4 linked regions of the Caenorhabditis elegans genome follow. The protein of the gene in region 3 interacts with the protein of the main gene of each other region in a pairwise test. Each region holds a gene or a part of one and is shown on either strand. Other genes may lie near its edges.

What was found.
Region 1: the proteins of hprt-1 (region 3) and F25D1.5 interact in a two-hybrid assay, tested with the Caenorhabditis elegans proteins (one large-scale study listed by BioGRID).
Region 2: the proteins of hprt-1 (region 3) and smz-1 interact in a two-hybrid assay, tested with the Caenorhabditis elegans proteins (one large-scale study listed by BioGRID).
Region 4: the proteins of hprt-1 (region 3) and gst-15 interact in a two-hybrid assay, tested with the Caenorhabditis elegans proteins (one large-scale study listed by BioGRID).

What each region holds. Positions count from the first base shown.
Region 1 is NC_003283.11:10,544,850-10,549,159, forward strand, and holds F25D1.5 (DeHydrogenases, Short chain), read right to left. Parts: upstream 1,935-4,310; 5' UTR 1,904-1,934; coding exon 1,634-1,903; intron 1,591-1,633; coding exon 1,402-1,590; intron 1,355-1,401; coding exon 980-1,354; 3' UTR 894-979; downstream 1-893. Other genes in the region: degt-1 (Acid-sensing ion channel 1), read left to right, coding at 1-198, 400-491, 638-729, 772-893; srd-34 (Serpentine receptor class delta-34), read right to left, coding at 2,749-2,951, 3,001-3,158, 3,205-3,404, 3,457-3,603, 3,650-3,746, 3,794-3,831, 4,179-4,232.
Region 2 is NC_003282.8:12,453,025-12,457,531, forward strand, and holds smz-1 (PDZ domain-containing protein), read left to right. Parts: upstream 1-2,025; 5' UTR 2,026-2,167; coding exon 2,168-2,296; intron 2,297-2,343; coding exon 2,344-2,607; intron 2,608-2,661; coding exon 2,662-3,093; 3' UTR 3,094-3,275; downstream 3,276-4,507. Other genes in the region: Transcription regulator spe-44, read right to left, coding at 249-457, 518-614, 676-844, 902-1,057; C25G4.7 (uncharacterized protein), read left to right, coding at 3,936-3,948, 3,996-4,123.
Region 3 is NC_003279.8:14,655,265-14,662,873, forward strand, and holds hprt-1 (Hypoxanthine phosphoribosyltransferase), read left to right. Parts: upstream 1-2,090; 5' UTR 2,091-2,131; coding exon 2,132-2,170; intron 2,171-3,634; coding exon 3,635-3,740; intron 3,741-5,484; coding exon 5,485-5,984; 3' UTR 5,985-6,231; downstream 6,232-7,609. Other genes in the region: riok-2 (Serine/threonine-protein kinase RIO2), read left to right, coding at 1,714-1,806; Y105E8B.6 (BZIP domain-containing protein), read left to right, coding at 7,274-7,342, 7,425-7,571.
Region 4 is NC_003280.10:13,610,583-13,615,576, forward strand, and holds gst-15 (glutathione transferase), read right to left. Parts: upstream 2,615-4,994; 5' UTR 2,562-2,614; coding exon 2,417-2,561; intron 1,746-2,416; coding exon 1,249-1,745; 3' UTR 1,188-1,248; downstream 1-1,187. Other genes in the region: gst-24 (glutathione transferase), read right to left, coding at 1-388, 574-712; gst-14 (glutathione transferase), read right to left, coding at 4,269-4,762.

The sequences.
Region 1 (4,310 bases), on a different chromosome or scaffold from region 3:
CTAAAATTAAGAAAAACTATGGTTACGGATATTCCAGCATTGGCGAATGAATTATCAGAAACCTTTTTGGCAGCAACAGAAAGTAGAAGAAAGTTTGCAGTATTGACAGGAATTGCTGCAGATGAAAGTTTCAGTGATAAATTTTCAAATTTCTCGAAATGTTTGGATGAACTTCACGAAAAAGCGCCAAATTTAAAGGCAAGAATAATTACTGACTTTGAAATATTCAAAATACCTAAAAATTACATTTATTTGTTTGTTTGTTTATTCGAAATTTGATAAATAGTAACAAAATGTAATACATAGAAGATCAACGGGGAAAATCGAATAATACATAAAATAAGAAAATATTTCAAAGTTTAAAAATCAAGATCTGATTTTAATTTCTATATTTTAAAGAAAACTCGATTCATCCGTGGCGAATGGCTTTCAAGACTTCGAAACCAAGTTTTGATGGCCCAGTCATATTCTCCAACTCCTCAATATGATGTGTAAGTCTTTTAAGCGTAATCTGAGTTGTGAGTAGGGTGAGCTCAGTGATGGCAAACGACGCCGCCGTGACGTCTTGTTCTAATTGAGTGTATGCGTGCAAATAAACATTAAACTTGGTACTTTCAACGGAACAAACTTTTTTCAGAGTAAATCTTCTTCACATCAAGTTCTATTTTGCACACTTTAAACAAGAGACTATTCTTCAAGAAAGATCCTACAACTTATTTTTACTTCTTGGTGAGTTTTACTCGATGTGCTTGTAACTTTGAAAGTTTTCAGCCGAAATTGGAGGAACCATTGGATTATATGTTGGAGCAACACTTCTAACTGCAGCAGAAACTCTTGTTTTTCTTTGTGAACGAAAGAAAAGTAATATATTCCTAAAACCACAATTTATATAAAAGTATTCAATGTATTTTATTGTGTATTTTACGACTATTACATTAGATAACAATGGTTAACAAAATCTGAAAAAAAAAGTTATAGTTTACTGACTAAGAACGGACATAAGATCATGTGTTTGCATTCCCATAACAAGAGTTGATCCTCCATCAGCAACAATCGATTGTCCAATAATGTAAGATGAGAGGTTTCTATCAGCCAGGAATACAATGATATTGGCAATTTCTTCTGGCTTTCCACAATGCCCAACAGGAATGCATTCTTTCCGTGAGCCAATAAAACTGTAAAGCTTGTCAGATGCAGTTTCTGGTAAACCCATCGCTCCCATGAAACCAGTGGCAACTGCTCCAGGGCTGACAGAATTTACGCGGACACCATGTTGAATAAGATCGATTGCAGTGCATCTGGTGTATTGGTCAAGCGCAGCTTTTGCGCAAGCATAATATGGATATCCAGAGTGCTGAAAATTAAAACAAAAGTTCTGAAATCCTCTCTCCCGAAGCTTACTGCTTGTGGGCCAGCAACGATACTGGAAACATTTACAATCTCTCCTTTTGTCTTTATCAAATGTTCCTTTGTTTTCTGAGTCATTTCGATCACAGCTTGGAAGTTTAACTTGAATGTTTTCTGATACAACTCCACTGGTTGATCCGTATTAGCTGTTCCGTCAGCTAAATTGGCACCAGCATTATTAACCTAAAACAATTGAGTATATTTCATTTTCTATCTATGTACATACCAAGATATCAATTTTTCCGAATTTAGCAAGAGTCGTGTTGATGATATCATCTTGTCCTGATGCTTCGGTAACATCAGCAACCACGGCATTAATCTTCTCAGCTGGAACTCCTGCTTTCAATATTTGCTGTTTGGTTTCTTCTAGGCGATCTTCATTTCTTCCAGTAATTGTAACTTGAGCTCCTTCCTTTGCAAAAATCACAGCAGCCGATCTTCCGATTCCATTAGAAGAACCAGTTATAATGACAGACTTTCCAGAAAAGCGAGCCATTATTTTGAGATTACAAAAATAAAATGTCAATCAGATGAATGTGATGTTTAAATGCAGTTTAATGTTTTCTTTTTATACTCATTGCAGTTAAAATTATTTCATGGTTGAATGGAAGTTTGTAGTTTCCGTGACTAAAATATGAAATATCTGTTTACGTAGAGAGTATTTTCAAAGTTACTTCCCGAAGAGACCATAGACAGTGTAACAATTTTTGTGACTGTTAATTCCTCTGCGTCTCTTTGAATTGTGTCTATTTTTGTGCAAGCACAGTTGAGGGAAGATCAATTGATCAAGTTTTCAATATGAAAACACAACTATGATTTCAGGAATTTTAAAATTTTATTTGCTTAAAAAAAAAATAATTTCCGTGTCCAATAGTCTTGCACCCATCTCTCCATCTTTAGCTGCTTATTTTTCGGTTGTTTTTTTAATTTTGTCAGACATTCGCCAACTAGCAAAATATAAACAATAAGCTTTTTCTTAGGGCTTTAATAACACATTTCTAGTATCGTTAAAACGTAGTGCGACACTAGACGTCAAAATGAATTAATTTGGTGAGGAAATACGGTGAATAGTCTCTCTAGATCCAAAAACTTGTTTAACAATAATTGTTTGAGAGCTTTGGCACTTTATTTTAAAGTGTAATGTTGAACTGTAAATATTTTTTCATCGTTATTTTTATTTGCAGATCTTCGAACAATGTTTTTCATTTGTCGGTATTTTTTATTACTGTTATAAAAGTGCTTGTGTAATATCTTTGAACAATGTTATTTTATTCAATTGAGCAAAGTTCCGATTACTACTCCGATTAGTCCACCACTATCATTACCAATTATTCAAAATGCTCAAAAAATGGAAACAGCCGAAATATTGTTACGTCTAACAATTGCAGGTGAAACTTTTTTGCCACAAAACGTATCCTTGAAAAACGCAATAAAGGCTTTTTGGTACGGTGTGATGGTGACAATAACAATGAACGCATCAATAGCTGTTGGAAGAGAAAGCATCATATATAGAACTTTTTCAAAATTTGAGAGAAACGGCAAGTCTGAAAATTGTCACATATTATTTTACTGTAAAAACGGACAGGAGCCTACCATAATTCTCAAGTATTAAGTGAGCTATGTATATAGGAATCACACAAACTGCAGGGACAAGTGTCTGAATCGTCAAAGCAAGATCAAACTTCTTGGCTTGAGCAGCAGTTTTATCAGTAAATAAATGTTTTAAACTGTTGAGTTTAATTTGTATTAGTCTGGAAACACATTGGTAAGTATTTCTTCGAAACTCAAATTTATTACCTAATAAACACAATACTCATGATTGGTGGGACGAAAATGCTTATCATATTCAAATTTGTTGCTAACCAGCTCCAAAAATGTTTTTGATATCCAGTGATATCCGCATAGTACCGGAAATCATATTGTGTTGAATGAAACTTCCTGGTCTCTGAAGCAACCTCAAGAGATTCGTCTGGTTCGTACGTTATCACATAGATCACCTAGAAACATTCATATTTCCATTCTAGATCAATCACGAAAAGCAAAACTCACCCCCACAATTAAAGATAGAAGGTAAGAGCTTAAAAGAATCATTCTGATTTGATTTTTAGTTATGTTTTTCATATTAATATTTGTTACTTTTGTATATTTGTAAAACAATGTAGCAGGAATTGCAAAGGACGAGGCATCAAAGACTAACTGAATTTTGAATATTTGTAAAAAATAACAATTACAGGACACTTACCTGGAAAAAATCAAAACTGAAAAAGCAAGCATTTTTATGAGTGTGTCTACAAAACCCGCTAAAAAGATATGCTGACGATTCTGGATTGTTCACAGGTCTGAAGGAACAGTGTTAGCTAAAAATTAATATTATCGTACAACTAACCTGACTTGTGTGAAGACAACTATTATGCACATGAAAAACTGTAAAGTTGAAGAATTGACAAGAAAGACACGAAAATCTTTGAATACTACGGGCGTTTTAAAAACAACTAAAAGCACGACGGAAGTTTGACTGAACATGGTAAAACCAAAATAAACCCAAAAATAAATTGGAAATATGACAGTGTCGTAAAAGGTCTGAAATTAAAGTAACTGGCAATTACTTAAATGATAATCACAGATATTTTTCATATATGACAGGCAATGAAAGATTGGCATTTTAGTATATTTTTAAAAGTTTATTTTAAAAAGCAATCTTCCAATTGATTTTTCCTCATAAATACCTAACTAGGAGACTCACCATTGGTGGAAAAAGAAAAATTACTCACATTTGCTTCCATTGTCATAATACTAGAGTTGGCATTCTCATTGGATACATCCATGTGGTAGAAATTCTGAAATTCGTAATAAGAATATTTTTGTGAAAAATATCCAAGAAGTAACGAGGATGTTTACAATCT
Region 2 (4,507 bases), on a different chromosome or scaffold from region 3:
AGTTTTAGAATGTTCTAGCAATATAGAATAATGTTTCCTTTATCTGAAAAAACTTATATTTAAGTTGGAATAGTTGAAAAGATGCTCACAAATCTCAAACTTTGAGACAATATTTGAGCACTTTTCCGATTGTTCCAACTAAAATATAAGTTATTTTTAGACATAACAAATATTATTCCTAAATTTTAATGAAAAATATTGAGAGAACATGTCAAAACTAGATCCTTTTGTAGAATTATCGGTCGTACTCTTTCTATTATCATCATTATCCGCCTCTTTTCCAGCCATCTCATTTTCGATCTCATATTTAAGTTGTCCGGCTTCAGATGTTCTCTTGGACTTCCGAGCTTGAAGCACCTCTTCAGATGGAGCATTCACATAATTTCTGCTTTGACACTTTCCACTGCATCGATTCATATGCTCGTAGAAGTCGATGGTCATTGCTTCCATGTGAGTTCTAGAATATAAAGTTTTGAGAAACAGAAGTATTTTAAGGGATTATTGTCTTGATGCTCACCTCAACGAAGATCTTCCAACACGGATGCTCGCCTTCCAATCTTTCTGACGCTCTTTGTCGCCACGGATTGTGAACTGCTTCGGAGAAAGAAGATCGTCTGAAAATAATTATATTATGAGACCCATTTTAAATTATCTGAAATAAATAAAATAACGAACTTCCCACTTCAATACACGGCTGATGAATCCCAGGGCACATGAACAGGTTGAGATGCATCTTTCCATTCACGACACCACAGGAAACTGGCACAGTCGGTGACGCATCTCCTTCGGGAATTGTGATCTGCAGTGGTGTTATAGGGCGCGGAAAATCGTCGTTTGCCGGATGCTGTAAAAATATGAATTATTAAAGCGATGTAATTATGAAAAAGTAGCTGAAACTCACTCCATACAAAATTTGATAAACATTCCTTTGACTCTCTTGGAATGGAGTCATCGTGGAATGATGATGATCAGATCCTTCGGCTTGAAATCCATCACATGATCCAGAAATCGGATGAGACGGCAACACGGAAGCAGCGCTCACGTCTCCACCGAACATTTTGACGTTGCTTTGCAATCCGAATAAAACCGTGAGTCGGGCGGGCCGTTGCAAAGTTCGCCACGTTTCACGTTAACACGTAAAGATTTCCGCGTCATTCTTTTTTTCATCTTTTTGGTACCACTTCCGATAAGCTGAAATTTCTTATTATTTTCGTTGGCAGATAAATAATGAATTTTTTGTTTTAAGAATATTTATTCAAGAGAAATGGTTTCAAAACGGGAAGAATCCAACTTTTCAGAGAGTTTTCTTTAATTTTTTACAACAAAAACACAATTTTCACACTAAACAACAGTTATTTAAATTAAAAATCACAAGTTGAACACTTTAAACGCGAAAAATAGTGAAAAAGTTCATAAAAAAGCAAAAGTGTGAAAATAATTGCAGAACAGAATTTTCTACAGTAACCTTAAAGGCGCACATACGAAATCGCGCGGCGCGTGGCGACACCATTTTACGATATTGGTCCTCCCTTGAACCTTCTGAAATCAGAAAGTTTTACAGTAATTGTAACATCACAAGATAGGAAAAAATGAAGAAAATAAAAAATAAAAAAGTCAAGAATTTTAGGATTGCAATTCAAAGGTTTTTACCGATCTTTTTAAAAAATAATGAGAATTTTGTTACTAACTATGATCTTTCATTTGATAGTATTAGTCATTAAAAAAAAACACACAGATCACCTTAAGTTTAAGAATACAATGAAAAATTAAGCAAAAAAATTCGTTGAAAACATTTTTTAATGCTCGTAAAATTGCTCCAAGGTTGATTTTGCCTTTTACATTTAATGATTTCAAATTTTGTAGAGGTCAATGTTTTTATGAGAGACTCGTAGGGACGGATTTTTTTTATTTGAAAGTTCAGATAGTTGAAAATATTTTTTTATATTTTTTTTTGTTAGAAACAAAAAATAATATTTTTACTTTAAAATAGAGTTTTTTAGACGAAAAAGTGATTACGTGACATGACCTTTGGGCCTTGTTTTTTATGGCCTAATTAATTCAGCATAAAAGGTCCAGATTTCGTCAGTTTTGTTCATATTTCGTCCGAAATCTTGAATCAATCGTCTTTTGAATCGCCAAAGCAGCCAAGAAGCAAAGGAGCAGAAGCATGGGTTCCGAGAAGATGATCGAGATCTGTATCGATATGGAAGAAGGAGAACCACTTGGTGCAACTCCGAATGACAAGCTTGTCATCACTAAAATCCAGGCTGGAACTATTTCCGAAGGAAAGTTGAGAGTAAGTTCTACAAAAGTTTAACCATTATTCTATGAAAAGTTTTATAGATTGGTGACCAAGTCAAAAAAGTCAACGGGCAAAACTGCAAAGATTGCAATGACTTTTTCCGTGCACTTCGCTTTGCAGCTCCATGTGCAAAAATTATGGTGAACCGCGATGAGAAGAAGGCCGAAGAGTTGGAGGCTCGTGTTCATATTCCTGAAGATCGTGCAAAGATCATTCAACGCCGTGAAGGATACGTCTATGAGTTGGCAACTCTTGTTTGGGTTCAAAATGGACCAAAACTTGGTTTGGGAATCAAGCATTTCCAGGTAAGAAATCAATCAAATCAAATAAATTCTAGGAAATTCATATATCTATTTCAGAATCGTGTGCTTGTCTCCCGTGTTGATCCTGGATCACTCGCCGAAAAGTGTCTCGTTCTTGGAGATCACTTGTGTGATGTTGATGGTATTCCAGTCAGTGACAAGGATGTTGCCAGAGACCTTCTCGTCAAGAACATTCAAGAAAAGGGAAAAGTCACTTTCGTCGTCGAGCGTCCCGATTCGATTGATGCCAAGCAATGGGCAAAGCAGGCATTGGCAACCAATCTTATGCAGCCACCATCTGTGCAAATGAACGAGGATGTGAAGGGCATTGCGTCTCAATACCGTCAAGCTCTTCCAGGATTGAAGCCTCCAGCAAAGAGTGCTATGTCTACTGGTCCAAGCGCTCGTCGCGTTTCAATTGTCGAGCAAACTCAAACACATGAAATCGGGCATGATCATGAGGGAAAAGCTCTTCGCAAGGTCAAGTGATGTGCCAGCAAGATGCCAGAAATCGCAACGTCTAGCTCGAATAAAAATTTTGTTTGAATCGCTTCTGCTGATTTATTTTGTTTTATATGTTCGAATACAGATAGTTTTTTGGGTATGTGAAACGCCCACAAAATGGCTCCTTTTAGGCAGGAGTGGTCAAAATACTACCGTATTGCAGACGATTTTTGTTTGAAAGTTGTTTGAATTTCTGAAAAAGGCAGAATGTGGTTACAGCAAGTCTCTATTAATATCAGCTCGTTTACTCCACGTGTTCCTCGTTTACCAAAAGCCCTGACCATGTTTTAGTGGCCCAGAAGAAAGTCTAGTTCTGGCTTACCGTAGCCTTAACAAGAGTTGAAAAGCCATAACTTTTGATGGCATAGGAAGTACCCACAACACTGAGCCTCTCGCAAACAACTTGCTTTGCTCCACCTTCAACGCTTTCATTTTGAGAAGCTTTTGATTGCAAAATAAATGGTAATAAATTGTTTTTTTTTGACATTTTTTTGTTGAAAAAACAATTTATATTAACTTCTTGAACCCATAATAAAATCAGCAATGTTAAAGGCCTTCCTATGCCTAGTTTCTGCATTTCTGCGCCAAATTTGGTGTCTGTGTCTTGACAGATAAATACATGGTGCATCGTGCAAAGATTCACCTACTGGCAGGTAACATGCCATTGCAACTAATCTAAATTATCTTATTAACAAACTTTCATTCAACTTTTGAATAAAAAAACGTGATGATCTCACGTTTTCAAAAAACATTCTAGTGCTTATCGTGATTTTCTCGATTATTCCTAGCTATTTACAATATTTCTTCCAACTTTCGTGCCTCAAATCATGAGCAAACCTGGTTAGTTTTGAACGCTTTTTAATGAAATTTTTGAAACTTTTTTTCAGAAAGTGTTCAAGAATCCCTTGATACAATCACATTTATTCACTCTTTTCAAATTACGACCACCAAGGTTGAGCATATGAAGCCGAAACGTTTTACCACGGTCCATCAGTACTCGCTGATTAATTGGTAGGTGATCTCACAGTTCTAGGGGATAGAGAAAAGGGGAGATGGAGATATGTGGGAACTGAAATTTAGTTTCACTCCCCCAGTCTCCCCAAGTGCCTACCTCATGTCTAACGTCTATTCACTTTGTCAGCAAAGAAGCAGTAAAAATTCATTTCGATTCCAGGGATATCGAAATATCGGTATCCCAAATACTTCAAGAACATCCCCAAAACCCTGAAGAACCGGTCGTCGAGAAGGTTTTTCGAATCAGTCTTTATCCAGCCGGACAACATCCTCTTCCTGTGCAGAAAGTGGAGTTCAAGTTAAGATTGGTTGACAATTCTGATGGAGATAATAGTGCGCTTTTGAAATAGTTTCCCAATTGCTTTTACAGACATCCTGCCACCTG
Region 3 (7,609 bases):
ACAAAGCAAGATAAATGGCCGCTGAAACTTGTCGGCCCCTCGGCCATGGCCTAGAAACCACTTTTCCTCGTCCCTCGTGAGGAAAAAGTTGCAGTGACTGTGCCAAACGCACAAAACGCTTTTTTTATTCTCATTCAACGCACGACTTTGTTATAACCACACTCCGTTATTACGCATCGCGCGCGTTGTTTAGCGTAAAATACAAAAAAAAGTCGTGCGTTGAATGAGAATAAAAAAGCGTTTTGTGCGTTTGGCACAGTGCCAGCTCCCCTTTTCGCAGATCCCCTTTTCGTGGGGCCTCAAATTTTTTTTCTCGAAATTTTTGTACCTGAAACATTGCAACAAAAAAATGTTCAGCCACGTAGAATCGTGGAAATTTTATCCATTTTATGGGCGGAGCCTGTTTTTGTCTGAAAATATATATTTTTATTTTTTGTGTTAAACTTTGCAAAAATTTTCAATTATCAAATTTTTTTTGAATTTTTTGAAAATTTCGATTAAAAATTTCATTAAAAACTTTAAAAAAAAACAAAAAACTTTTTTTCTCAAAAAAACTCAAAAAATAATAAACGGTATAAACGGTATAAATCTGGTCATTTTTGTACCAAAAGTGCCATTTTATAAGCGAAGACTGTTTTTGTTGTGAAAATTTTTTTCGAAATTTCAGAATGGGCGGAGTTGTTCAAACTTTTGCTCAAATGTGCAATTTTGAATTTTTGCACATTTGAGCATCCATTTTGTGGACGTGGCCAGTTTTTGTCCGAAATTCACTTTTTTTTTTGAATTTTGTGTTTCATTGTCATTCTAAAAAAATGTTGCTTTAAAAAAAATTTAGTTTTGCTGATTTTGAAATATTGTTCATAGAAAAAAATTTAATTTAAAATTTTTAGAAAACCGACCATTTTGTGGGCGGAGCCAGTTTTCGTCTAAAATTCCTTTTTTTTTAAAGCGAATTCTGAAAAAATTCTGAAAAATAATCACTTACGCGGCATCATAGTAATTATTTTATATTTTTTTGAAAATTGCACGTTTGAGCATCCATTTTGTGGTGGGCATGGCTAGGTTTTGTCCTAAATTCGCTTTTTTTTTTGAATTTTGTGTTTCATTGTCATTCTAAAAAAATGTTGCTTTAAAAAGAATTTAGTTTGCTGATTTTGAAATATTGTTCATAGAAACGTACTTAAAATTTGGAATAAGTCATCATATATTTAATTTCAAATTTTTAGAAAACCGACAATTTTATGGGCGGAGTCAGTTTTTGTCTGACAATATTTTTTCTCGAAATTTCTGTATCTGAAACATTGCAAAAAATTATATAGGAATTCTTTCGGTATCGTCCATTTTGTGGGCGTGGCCAGTTTTTGTCTGAAATTCGTTTTTTTAAAATTTTCTGTGTGAAACTTTGCAAAAATTTTCAATTATCTTTTTTTTTTGGAATTTCTTGAAATTTTCGACTGATCATTACATTAAAAATTAGTTTTTTTTACTGTGAAATCCTTAAATTTTTTGGAAAATACGTTTTTTTACAAAAAAAAAAATTCACAAAAATCTCAAAAATTAATAAAAAAGTATTTAATTTCTACTTTACTGTAATTTATTAATATTTTCCTTCCAAACTCGTAAAACTCTTTTAAAAAAATTCTGAAATCCTTCCAACCTTCAGTATAAATCAATATACCACAAAAATTTCTAAAATTTATCCAAAAATTCCAGATTCGACTGAAGGTCAAAGGAAAGCAAAGCGCAGTGGGCCGTAACCGAAAAGACAATAAAGATGTGATTGCCGAGTACGCTGGATGGATTTGATGATTTAATAATTGTTCTCGTTTTTCCCGGAAAATTCGTTTTTTCTATTCTTTTTCACCTGTTATTATTACCATTGTTATATGTTTTTTGTTCTGTTAACTTCTCCCCTTCAATATAAACGAAATGATGCGTTTTTTTTCGATTAAAATGCAACATTTATCGTTGACACGTTCGTAACTTTCATCGTCGCGCCGTCTATTTCAACTGATAAGATAATCTGATCAATCTTCTTTTTTTTTTTGATTGATAAGATAATATTGTCTCTTTTAAATAACCATTCACACACTTTTCTTTTTTTCAGAAAAATAGTTCTTCATTTTCGAAAATGGCTCCAACTCGTGCTGTCATTCCTGATGATTTTGAGGTTTGTGTGATTCAGATTTTTGAATTTTGAATTAAAATTTTCACGATTTCGAGAAAAATATCCACATTTAGCAGCTAGAAACAAAAAAATTCAAGAAAAGTGCTTAAATTTTCATTAAATTTGAATTTAAACAGTTTTTTTAGTTTTTGGTGAGGCTCCTAGGCTACAAACTACAACGATGTTTTAGCCTCGCCAAAGTTGGTTGAGGCTAGGAAACATTGTAGTTTGTGGTCTGACGCCTCAACCAACTTTTCCAGAAATTTTTTCAAACAATTTTGATTCAGGATTTTTAAAAAATTTCGAATGAAAATTGCCAAATGTGCATGAAATTTCCAAGCTTTAGTAGCTGAAAACAAAAAAAAAATCAAAAAATTTTAATTTAAACAGGTTTTTTTTTAGTTTTTGGTGAGGCTCCTAGGCTACAAACTACGACGAGTTTTAGCCTCACCAAAGTTGGTTGAGGCTAGGAAACATTGTAGTTTGTAGTGTGACACCGCAACAAACGGTGGTTCCATCAATTTTTGTGATTCAGATTTTTGAATTTCGAATGAAAATTGCCACGATTTCGAGAGCAATTTTCACATTTAGCAGCTGGAAACGAAAAAAAATCCAAGAAACAGGCTTAAAATTCTATAAAATTTGAATTTAAACAGTTTTTTAGTTTTTTGTGAGGTTCTCAGACTACAAACTACAATGATGTTCAGCCTCACCAAAGTTGGTTGAGGCTGGGAAACATTGTAGTTTGTGATCTGACGCCTCAACCAACTTTTCACTTTTCCAGCAATTTTTTGATTCAGATTTTTGAATTTTAACTGAAATAAAAAAACTGCAGGAAGTTTATAATTTAGCAGCTGGAGACAAAAAAAAAATTCAAGAAAAATGCTTAAATATCCATAAATTTTGAATTTTCGCTAATTTAAGTTTTTTTGGTGAGGCTCTCAGGCTACAAACTACAAGAGTTTTCAGCTTCATCAAAGTTAGTTGAGGCTAGAAAAAGTTGTAGTTTGTAGTGTGAACCAAAAATTGACCGAAAACGTGATTTTCAGTTAATTTTTGACATTTTTTTTAACAAAAAATTCTCGATTTCTATCCATTTCAGCTAAAAACTCACAATTTTGCAACCGTTTCTCCTCATATCAGCAGAAATTCATTAAAAATTACGTTTTTTTTTCCAAAATTTTGCCCAGAAAAACTAGTTTTCAACAATTAAAAAGAACAATATTATCCATATTTTTGTTCTAAAATAGTTAAAATCTGCAATCTTCAGTCAAAAATTTTCAACTTTTTCAAGTATTTTGTGAAATTTCGAACATTTTCAACATGGTTGAGGCTAGAAAGATTTGTAGTTTGTAGTCTAATTGATTTTTGGGCTAAAAATGTGCAATTTCATTTATTTTTAAACGTCGTTTCTTGCAAAATTATGGCGAAATTGTAAAATTTTAAATTAATATTTAATTTTTGCAGCTCCCAGTCGACGCATTCGACATTCCAATCTGCTATGACGGTGATTTATCCGGTGTCGTGATTCCGGAAGGTCTTGTTAGAGATCGTGTTCGTCGTCTGGCTAAAGGTAAAAACAGTTAAAATTTAAAAATTTCTCTCTAATAGCCCTACAACGGACTTCTAGCTCCCTCAAATTTGAAAATGGAAGAGATGGAAACCTCTTCCACGGCCATGTGTCGATTTACGTGACAATTGTAAAATCGTCTTCTCCTCCTCGAAGAGTACACGAGGGCTGCGTAAATCGACACACAGGGCCGTGGAAGAGGATTCCAGCTCTTCCATTTTCAAGTATAAGGGAGCTTGGATTGAAGGATTTCAAAAAATACAGAAAAATTTCAAATTTTCCTCTAAAAAAGTGTCAACGGAATTTTTTCGATTTTCCGAAATTTCGAATTATTTTTCGATTTTTCTAAAATTACCTTGAAATTTTGTGTTCTAATTGTTCTTTTTAGAAGACATTTTTAATTTTTCTCATGTTTTTTAACAATATAAACAAAATTAGATTAGAAAATCGAATTTTATGATTAATTTTTTTTTTCGATTTTTCGATTTTTGTTCAGATTTTTCGGAAACTAAAAAAATTTTCCTATTTTAGAAGTTTTTTTTACGGAAAATCCGAAAATGGACAATTTTTCGTTGATACATTTTTTTTTGAAGAAATTGAAGAAATGCGATGACGGAAAAGTTTCGAATAAAAACAATTATTTTCAGAAACAAGACTTTCTGCTTCAATATTATTTCTTTAATTTCTTTAAAAATTTTTCTTCTAAAAACTGCCAAAATTTTTTTTTTTTTTTTGAAAAAACTTCTAAAAATTTTCGATTTTTATATTTGCTGGAAAATTGATCAGAAAATTCTATTTTTTTTTTTTCTAATTTTGTTTATATTGAAGAAAAAAAACCTAGTCATCAAACTTTTAAGCTAATTTTAGAAAAATCTGAAAAAATTAGAAATACCGGAAAATTTTCGTTTTTCGATTTACACTGTAACTTTTTCCTCACGAGGGACGAGGAAAAGTGGTTTCTAGGCCATGGCCGAGGGGCCGATAAGTTTCAGCGGCCATTTATCTTGCTTTGTTTTCCGCCTGTTTTCTTTCGTTTTTCATCGATTTTTTTCGTTTTTTCTTATTAAAACTGATAAATAAATACTTTTTGCAGATGCTAAAACAAATTCCAAGTAAAAAAATTATGTATTCAGTGGGCAAGCAGCGGTGAAAGTGGTCAATGTAAAATGATGGATTACGGAAATACAAAACCTAAACTTTTTCTGAAACATGATACATATGATGCTTAAATGCTGAGACTACCTGATTTTCATAACGAGACCGCTGAAAAAGTTTTGAGGTTTCCAAAATTCAACTTTTTTGGTGAAAAGGTCGAGATTTTCGCACAAAAAGTTGAATTTTGAAAATCTCAATACTTTTTCAGACGTCTCATTATGGAAATCAGGTAGTCTCAGCATTTAAGCAGCATATGTATCATGTTTGGGGAAAAGTTTAGGTTTTGTATTCCCGTAATCCATCATATTACAATGCCCACTTTCACCGCTGCTTGCCCACTGAATACATGATTTTTTTTACTTGGAAATTGTTTTAGCATCTGCAAAAAATATTTATTTATCAGTTTTAATAAGAAAAAACGGGAAAAAGCTGTGAAAAACAAAAGAAAACAGGCGGAAAACAAAGCAAGATAAATGGCCGCTGAAACTTGTCGGCCCCTCGGCCATGGCCTAGAAACCACTTTTCCTCGTCCCTCGTGAGGAAAAAGTTGCAGTGATTTAGTAAAAAATCAGAAATCATATAATTTTCTCAGACATCCACGCTGAAATCGGAAACAAACCAATCGCGCTGCTCTGCGTACTCAAAGGATCCTATAAATTCTTCACTGCCCTCGTCGAAGAGCTCACAAATGCTCGCTCATCGTGTCCTGAACCAATGACTGTCGATTTTATTCGAGTAAAGAGTTACGAGGATCAAATGAGTACTGGACAAATTCAAATAATGGGACTATCGAATTTGGATGAGCTCAAGGGGAAAAGTGTGCTCGTTGTGGATGATATTTCGGATACCGGAAGAACTCTTGCAAAACTTCTCTCAACTTTACATGAGACGGGCGTTGAGAAGACCTGGACCGCCCTTCTCCTGTCGAAACGTGTCAAACGTGTCGTGGATGTTCCAGAGGATTTCGTGGCTTTTGAGATTCCTGACAAATTTATTGTTGGCTACGGATTGGATTATAATCAGAAATTCCGAGATCTCGGACATATTTGTGTCATGAGCCCTGCTGGAATTGAGAAATATAAATCGGAATAATTTGGATTTTTACAATTTTTTTGAAAAAAAAAATTGAAATTTTTGAATGTCTAATTGTTTTTTTTTTGCTCTGCTATTCCTAATTACACTGTGATCTGCTTTAAATTCGTTATTAATTTTTTTAAAACAAATATACATTATTTTAAAAATATACATGTATTGCTTCAAAATTGTAGTTTTTTTTTCTAATTTTCGGTGTATTATGACCGTCAAGGTTTTGTCCTACAAAATATTTGAAATGACCAAATTTTTTCACAATTTTTTAATCGAAAAAAAAATGCAAAAACCACGAGAAACCGTAGATTTTTTAAAATTCCATAGAGAGAAAAATTGCAAGAAAAATTGCTTTTAATTAATTTTTTTTGGGAAAAATCAAAATTTTTCCGATTAAAAAAAATCGATGGTCGAGAAATTTCATTTGCTTTTTTTTTTTTTTGAAATTTTTTTAAAAAATCTTTTTTCAAAATACCGCGTTTTGCCAGTATAGCTTTAAAAAATTTTTTTACACATTCTGATAATTTTAATTTTTTTTCAGTTTTTTAATCGAAAAAATTCAAAATCCACGAGAAATTAGAATTTAGAAAAAAAATTTCGAGGAAAATAAAAATATAGCTTGAAATTAATTTTTTTAAACGAAAAATCTAAATTGTTTGATTTTAAAAAAAACGATGGCCGAACTTTCTCGATATTCGAAAAAAAACATGTGGCCGAGTTTTTCACTTCTCGGCCACCTAGCAAAACTATTTCATGAACACGAAATTGTGAGAATGCGTATTGCACAACATATTTGACGCGCAAAATATCTCGTAGCGAAAACTACAGTAATTCTTTAAATGCGCAAAATATCTCGTAGCGAAAACTACAGTAATTCTTTAAATGCGCAAAATATCTCGTAGCGAAAACTACAGTAATTCTTTAAATGACTACTGTGTCGATTTACGGGCTTAAATGGATTCAATTAATTTATTTATCGATAAAGTATTGAAATTCAGCTAAAAATGACCAAATAATGCGAAGAACCGAATGAGCCCGTAAATCGACACAAACGCTCTACAGTAGTCATTTAAAGGGTTACTGTAGTTTTCGCTACGAGATATTTTGCGCGTCAAATATGTTGTGCTATACGTATTCTCAGAGTTTTGTGTTCCCGCAATAAATAGAATATATCTGTATTAAAAAATTTTGGAAAAAAATTAATTTTTCATCCAAAAAATTTTAAGAAATAGGTCATATTTTGTGAAATCTAAGAGAAAATCAATACAAAATGTTTTTTTCAGAACCAAAAAAAAATGGAAAAGAGAAACGAGGAGCACTCGCGCAAAAAGTTCATCGAAGAGCAGCTAAATGCTCTGAAACATGTAAGTTTTCGTGGCCGCCGTTAAAATTTCGGCCACCAATTCAAAAAAATTAAATTTTAAAAAAATTTGGTTTTTTTTTCAGGAAGAACGAGTTCTGAACGAGACACGTACCAAATTGCAACAGCAAAAGTGGCACCTCCTGCAGGAAAATGATAAGATCAAGGAGAAAATTCGTGTGCGTGACGCTGCCGCCGGAGCCGGAACTGGAACTGGAGCACCGCCAGAATAATCGATTTTTAAAAAAAAATTTTTAATTTTTAATTTTTA
Region 4 (4,994 bases), on a different chromosome or scaffold from region 3:
TCAAACACTCCCAGCATCTCCATAGTTGTCAAAATATCAGCTATCACCAGATCAGCCCAAGTTACACCATCTCCGACTAGGAATCCTGACTTGCTCTTCTCAAGAATTCCATTAAGAATTTTGAAGAATGTATCCCGGGCCGGCGCGAAGACCTCCTTTTGGATTCGCTCGATTTCCTCCGCATTTCCGGATCTTTGAGCCATGATGAGTTGGCGTAGTGGGGTGACGAAGTCTTTGAATTGATCTACGATTGCATCCACCCACGCTTCTTCCTCTGATGTTTTTCCAGCGTAGCCGAATTTTTTGGCAAGGTAGCGGAGAATTGCAGCGGATTGGGGGATTTCGAAGCCATCGACTGAGAGGAATGGGAGCTGACCAAATGGGGTTTCTGGAAGATTCCTGGGTTGGGATTCAGACTTAGGCTTAGGTTTAGGCTTTCGCTTAGGCTTAGGTATAGTCATAGGCCGAGGCATAGGCTTAGGCTTAGAGTGGACCACCGTATCTGATTTTTAAAAAATTCTCAAAATCCGTGACAGTTATACAAATACCACTAAAAATGTTTCAAAAACTCACTTGGCTTCAACGCTCCCCACTCTGGAGTTCCATTCTCAATACGAACATCCTCAAACTCGACGTGAGCCAGCTTGAAGAGCTGCCGAGCCGGCTCAGCCCATCCACGAAGGTTGAAATAGTAGAGCTTGTATTGTGGCATTGTTTGTTGATGGGAGATGATTGAGTAGTACTTTATATACACAAAGTCGTTTCGAAAATCTCCGAAATTGAGGGGAGGGAGAGTGAGAGAAATAGAGAAATAGAAGAGTGGTTTGTGTTTTTGCGAAGAAACACTGGTCACAAAACAAAAAGTCAGAAAATTGGAAAAATTTTTGAAAAATTCAGAAAATGCATCAAAAGCTGTTTTTTTTTCAAAAATTCAAAAGTACTGAAAAATCATATGAAGTGCTTCATTTTTCTTTTATAAAACTGTTTAGCATGATAAAATATACCAAAAAATATTAAATAAAATTTGCTAACTTGTACGGAAGATTATTTTAAAAAGTTCAGAAAATACATCAAAAGCTGTTTTTTTCAAAAATTCAAAAGTACTGAAAAATCATATGGAGCCCTGTTGCACTTCTCGCACTATTATTTCAAAAAAAAGTATTTCGGTAAAAAAATATCCGCATAAAATACTACAATATGTTTATTATCTTTTATCACAGTTTTTAAAAATTCAACGCGATTCAAAATTTAGACTTCTGTATCCATTCTCGTCGCAATATGATCCTCCAAATCTGGGGTTCCATAGATTTTCTCCTTATACTTTTTCAAATTCTGATGTCCTTCATCATCATCATCGATGGCTCGAAGCTTCTCCAGACTGTGCAAATTATCAGCTATAACTAGATCAGCCCATGTGAGCCCATCACCAACTAAATAACCTGACTTGCTCTTTTTGAGAATTCGATTGAGAAGAATAAAGTAGACATCTCGAGCTGGATTGAAAATCTCGTAGCGGATTTTGAGGATTTCTTCTTCTGGTTTCCCGGCCCTTGTGGCAAAAAGGAGTGTTTTAAAAGCAACGGAGAAGTCTTTGAATTGGTCGACAACGGCGTCCGCCCACGCTTCTTCTTCTGGAGTTTTTCCGGCATAACCAAATTTCTTGGCAAGGTATCGACAAATTGCAGCAGATTGGGGGATGTCGAAGCCATCAACGTTGAGTACTGGGAGCTGACCAAATGGGGTTTCTGGAAGTTGAATTAATTATGGCAGGTCTTCTTTGTAGGCACGCTTGCCTACATGCCTACGTCTGCCATCGTGTGTTCATACTCTCAGTTTGTAATCGAACATTTTATACTTAACACAAATATTTGAAATCTGCGCTAAACAAGAAGTCACAATGGAGAGCACGTAGGCAGGCAGGCAAAAAGTAGGCGCGTACGCCTGAAGATCTTATGAAACCCTAAAGCTGGATGTAGTGACTTTCTATTTATACGAAAAAAAAACAGAAATATCTAATCCTTTCTACAAGCTACAAACTACAAACTACAATATACAAACTACAAACTACAATCTGCAGACTACAAACTACAACCTATATTCTACATAATACGAATTACGGACTACAAGTAACAAACTATTTTTTTGACAAAAATTAATTTTTCAAAATACTTTCGTACCAAAAAACCTTTTACAAACTACAAACTAGCACCTACAAACTACAAACTACAAATTAAAAACTACAAACTACAGACTACAAACTACGAACTACAAACTACAAACTACAAAAAGATTTTTCCCCGAAAGCCAAGAAATTTAATGTTTTTTAGTTCAAACTTTTTCAAATTAAGTGTGGCATCAGTAACTACAAACTACAAACTACAAACTACAAGCAACACATTTCACTTTAAGAACTTACTGTCTCTCATTTTCTCCCATTTCCCTTCAGTATCGGCCATTGGAATCCGAATATCATCGTATGGAGTATGCGAGAGATGGAAAAGCTGTCGAGCCGGCTCAGCCCATCCACGTAGATCAAAATATGTTAGCTTGTATTGTGGCATTTTATTTCTGGAAGATTGAAAAAGGTGGATTCGAAAATCGACAAAATTGAGTGGAAAAAGCGAGGTCTCTAACAGTCTAAGTCTATTTATTTGAGGCTTACGTCTCTAAGCAAAAATATAATATGGGAATTGGAAATCGGTGGTCTTTGAGCATTGTGATAAAAAAGAGCACAAAATTTAAAATTTCAAAATAAAAGAAAAATAAGAGAAATAAAAACGATTTTTTGGAAATTTACATTTTTTTGCAGGACACGTTTCGAAAAAAACCCCACTTTGAAAAGAGAAGAAGAGCTTTTTCAAATTTTTTTTGGGTTTAAGTCACAGAAAATAGGTCGTAATAACCAAATATAACTGTCAAAAAATTTTAAAAATTTTCTAAATTTTTAATAATTTTTTTCCATTTGAAAAAAAAAACGTCCGAATTAAATTTGAATTCCCGCGCGAATGAGTGACGTCATTCTATGCATTTTCGCTTTTTCTGGCTAATTTTGGAGGGGTTTCTTGATATGTCTTCTACATTTGATTTAAATCGCCGTTTGTCAATTTTTCAAACATTCAATTTTCTAAAACAAAAAAAATATAAAGAAATATTAAATTTCCGTTTTTTAGACCAATTTCTTCCATGTTACGGAAAAAAGTTTTCAATTTGAAAAACAATTGCCGAATTTGTGTTTTAAATCAAATATAGAAGAAAATTTTAAAAAAAAACGCATAAATTTAGCCAAAAATGACGTCACTCATTTGCGCGAGAATTCAAATATAATTTGGGCATTTCTTTGATTTTTGAAAAATTGAAAAAAAAAATCATTAAAAATTTTTTTAAAAACATATTGTTTGGGCAATTTATTGTAAAAAATCACAAATTTTAAAACTCCTCTAAAATGGTTCATTTTGAATTTAGTTAGAGAACTCAAAATTGATCTACAAACACTAAAAAATTGCCCTTTTTCAATTTCCAGTGGTTCCAAACGTTTTAAGAAAAATCTTTTTTTTTGCCCAAAAAAAAGGACAGTCATTAGATGGCTTTAAAAAAATTGGGCAAAAAAATTTTTGGCTAAATTTGTTGAAAACGGGTAATTCGTGTATGCTGAATTCAGAAAATCTATGTTTAACCCATCAAAAACTATAACGTGGCAAAAATGGGCAATTTATGGCAAAAAATCACAATTTTGAAACTCCTCTAAAATGGTCAATTTTATAGATAGAGGACTCAAAATTGATCTGCAAACACTAAAAAATTGCCCTTTTTCAATTTCCAGTAGTTTCGAACGGTTTCAGAGAAATTTTTTTTGCCCAAAAAAAGGACAGTCCTTAGATGGCTGAAAAAAATTGGGCAAAAATAAAATGCCGTCTAAATTTGTTGAAAATAGGTAATTAATATATGCAAACTTCAGAAACTCTGCTCCATCTTTAATTCAACTTGGCATAAGTATAAAAATAAAAATGAATTGTAAAAAACCAACAAAAAAAAATCCAGAACAATCATTCTTTAGAAAACCTCCTTCGTTTTTATTTTGTTATTCTCCCCTACCCTTTCTGTTCACCAAACATCACATTTTCTTGTTTACCCCCCCCCCCCCCCCCCACGTGAGAGAGTATTGACAAGGACATTTCGGCGGCAGTCAACATTAATGAAGTTTCTGGTTGTCAAAGGAAACTTCTTTATTTTGTTTTTGAATATGGAAAACATGTTAGTAAGATTAAAAATTAGATCTCCGTTACTGGACGACTTGCGATATAGCTCTTCAGATTGGGGTGGGAATACACTTTTTCGAGATGAGCTGCTAGTTTTGGTTGCTCTCCAGAAGCTTCTAGGAGCCCATATTTTTTCAGTGTTTGAATGTTGTCAGCGATATAAAGATCCGCGAAGGTGATTGAATCTCCGATCAGATATCCTGACTTGCTCTTTTCCAGTAGGCCATTGAGAACTTTGAAGTACACATCCATAGCAGGTTTTATAACTTCAGCCGTTAACTTTTCCAGTTCTTCAGCAGATTTTCCGACTCGTTTTGCAATGACTAGTTTTCTGAATTCCGCAAAGAAATCTTTGAATTGATCGACGACGGCGTCTACCCAAGCTTCTTCCTCTGGAGTTTTTCCAGCGAACCCGAATTTTCTAGCAAGGTAGCGATTTATGGCAGCAGATTGTGGGATTTCGAAGTCATCGACGGTGAGGACAGGCAATTGTCCCATTGGGGTTTCTGGAATTCGATATATAGCAGGGGTGGGCGACATATTCCGGCAAGTCGGCAAACCGGCAAATTGTCGGAATTTAAAATTTCCGGCAAATAGACAAAATGCCGGAATTTCAAATTTCCGACAAATCGGCAAATTTTCGGAATCGAAAATTTCCGGCGAATTTGAAAATTTCGGGCAAATCGGCAAACCGGCACATTGTCGATTCTACATTTTTTCGGCAAATTGTGGTTTTGC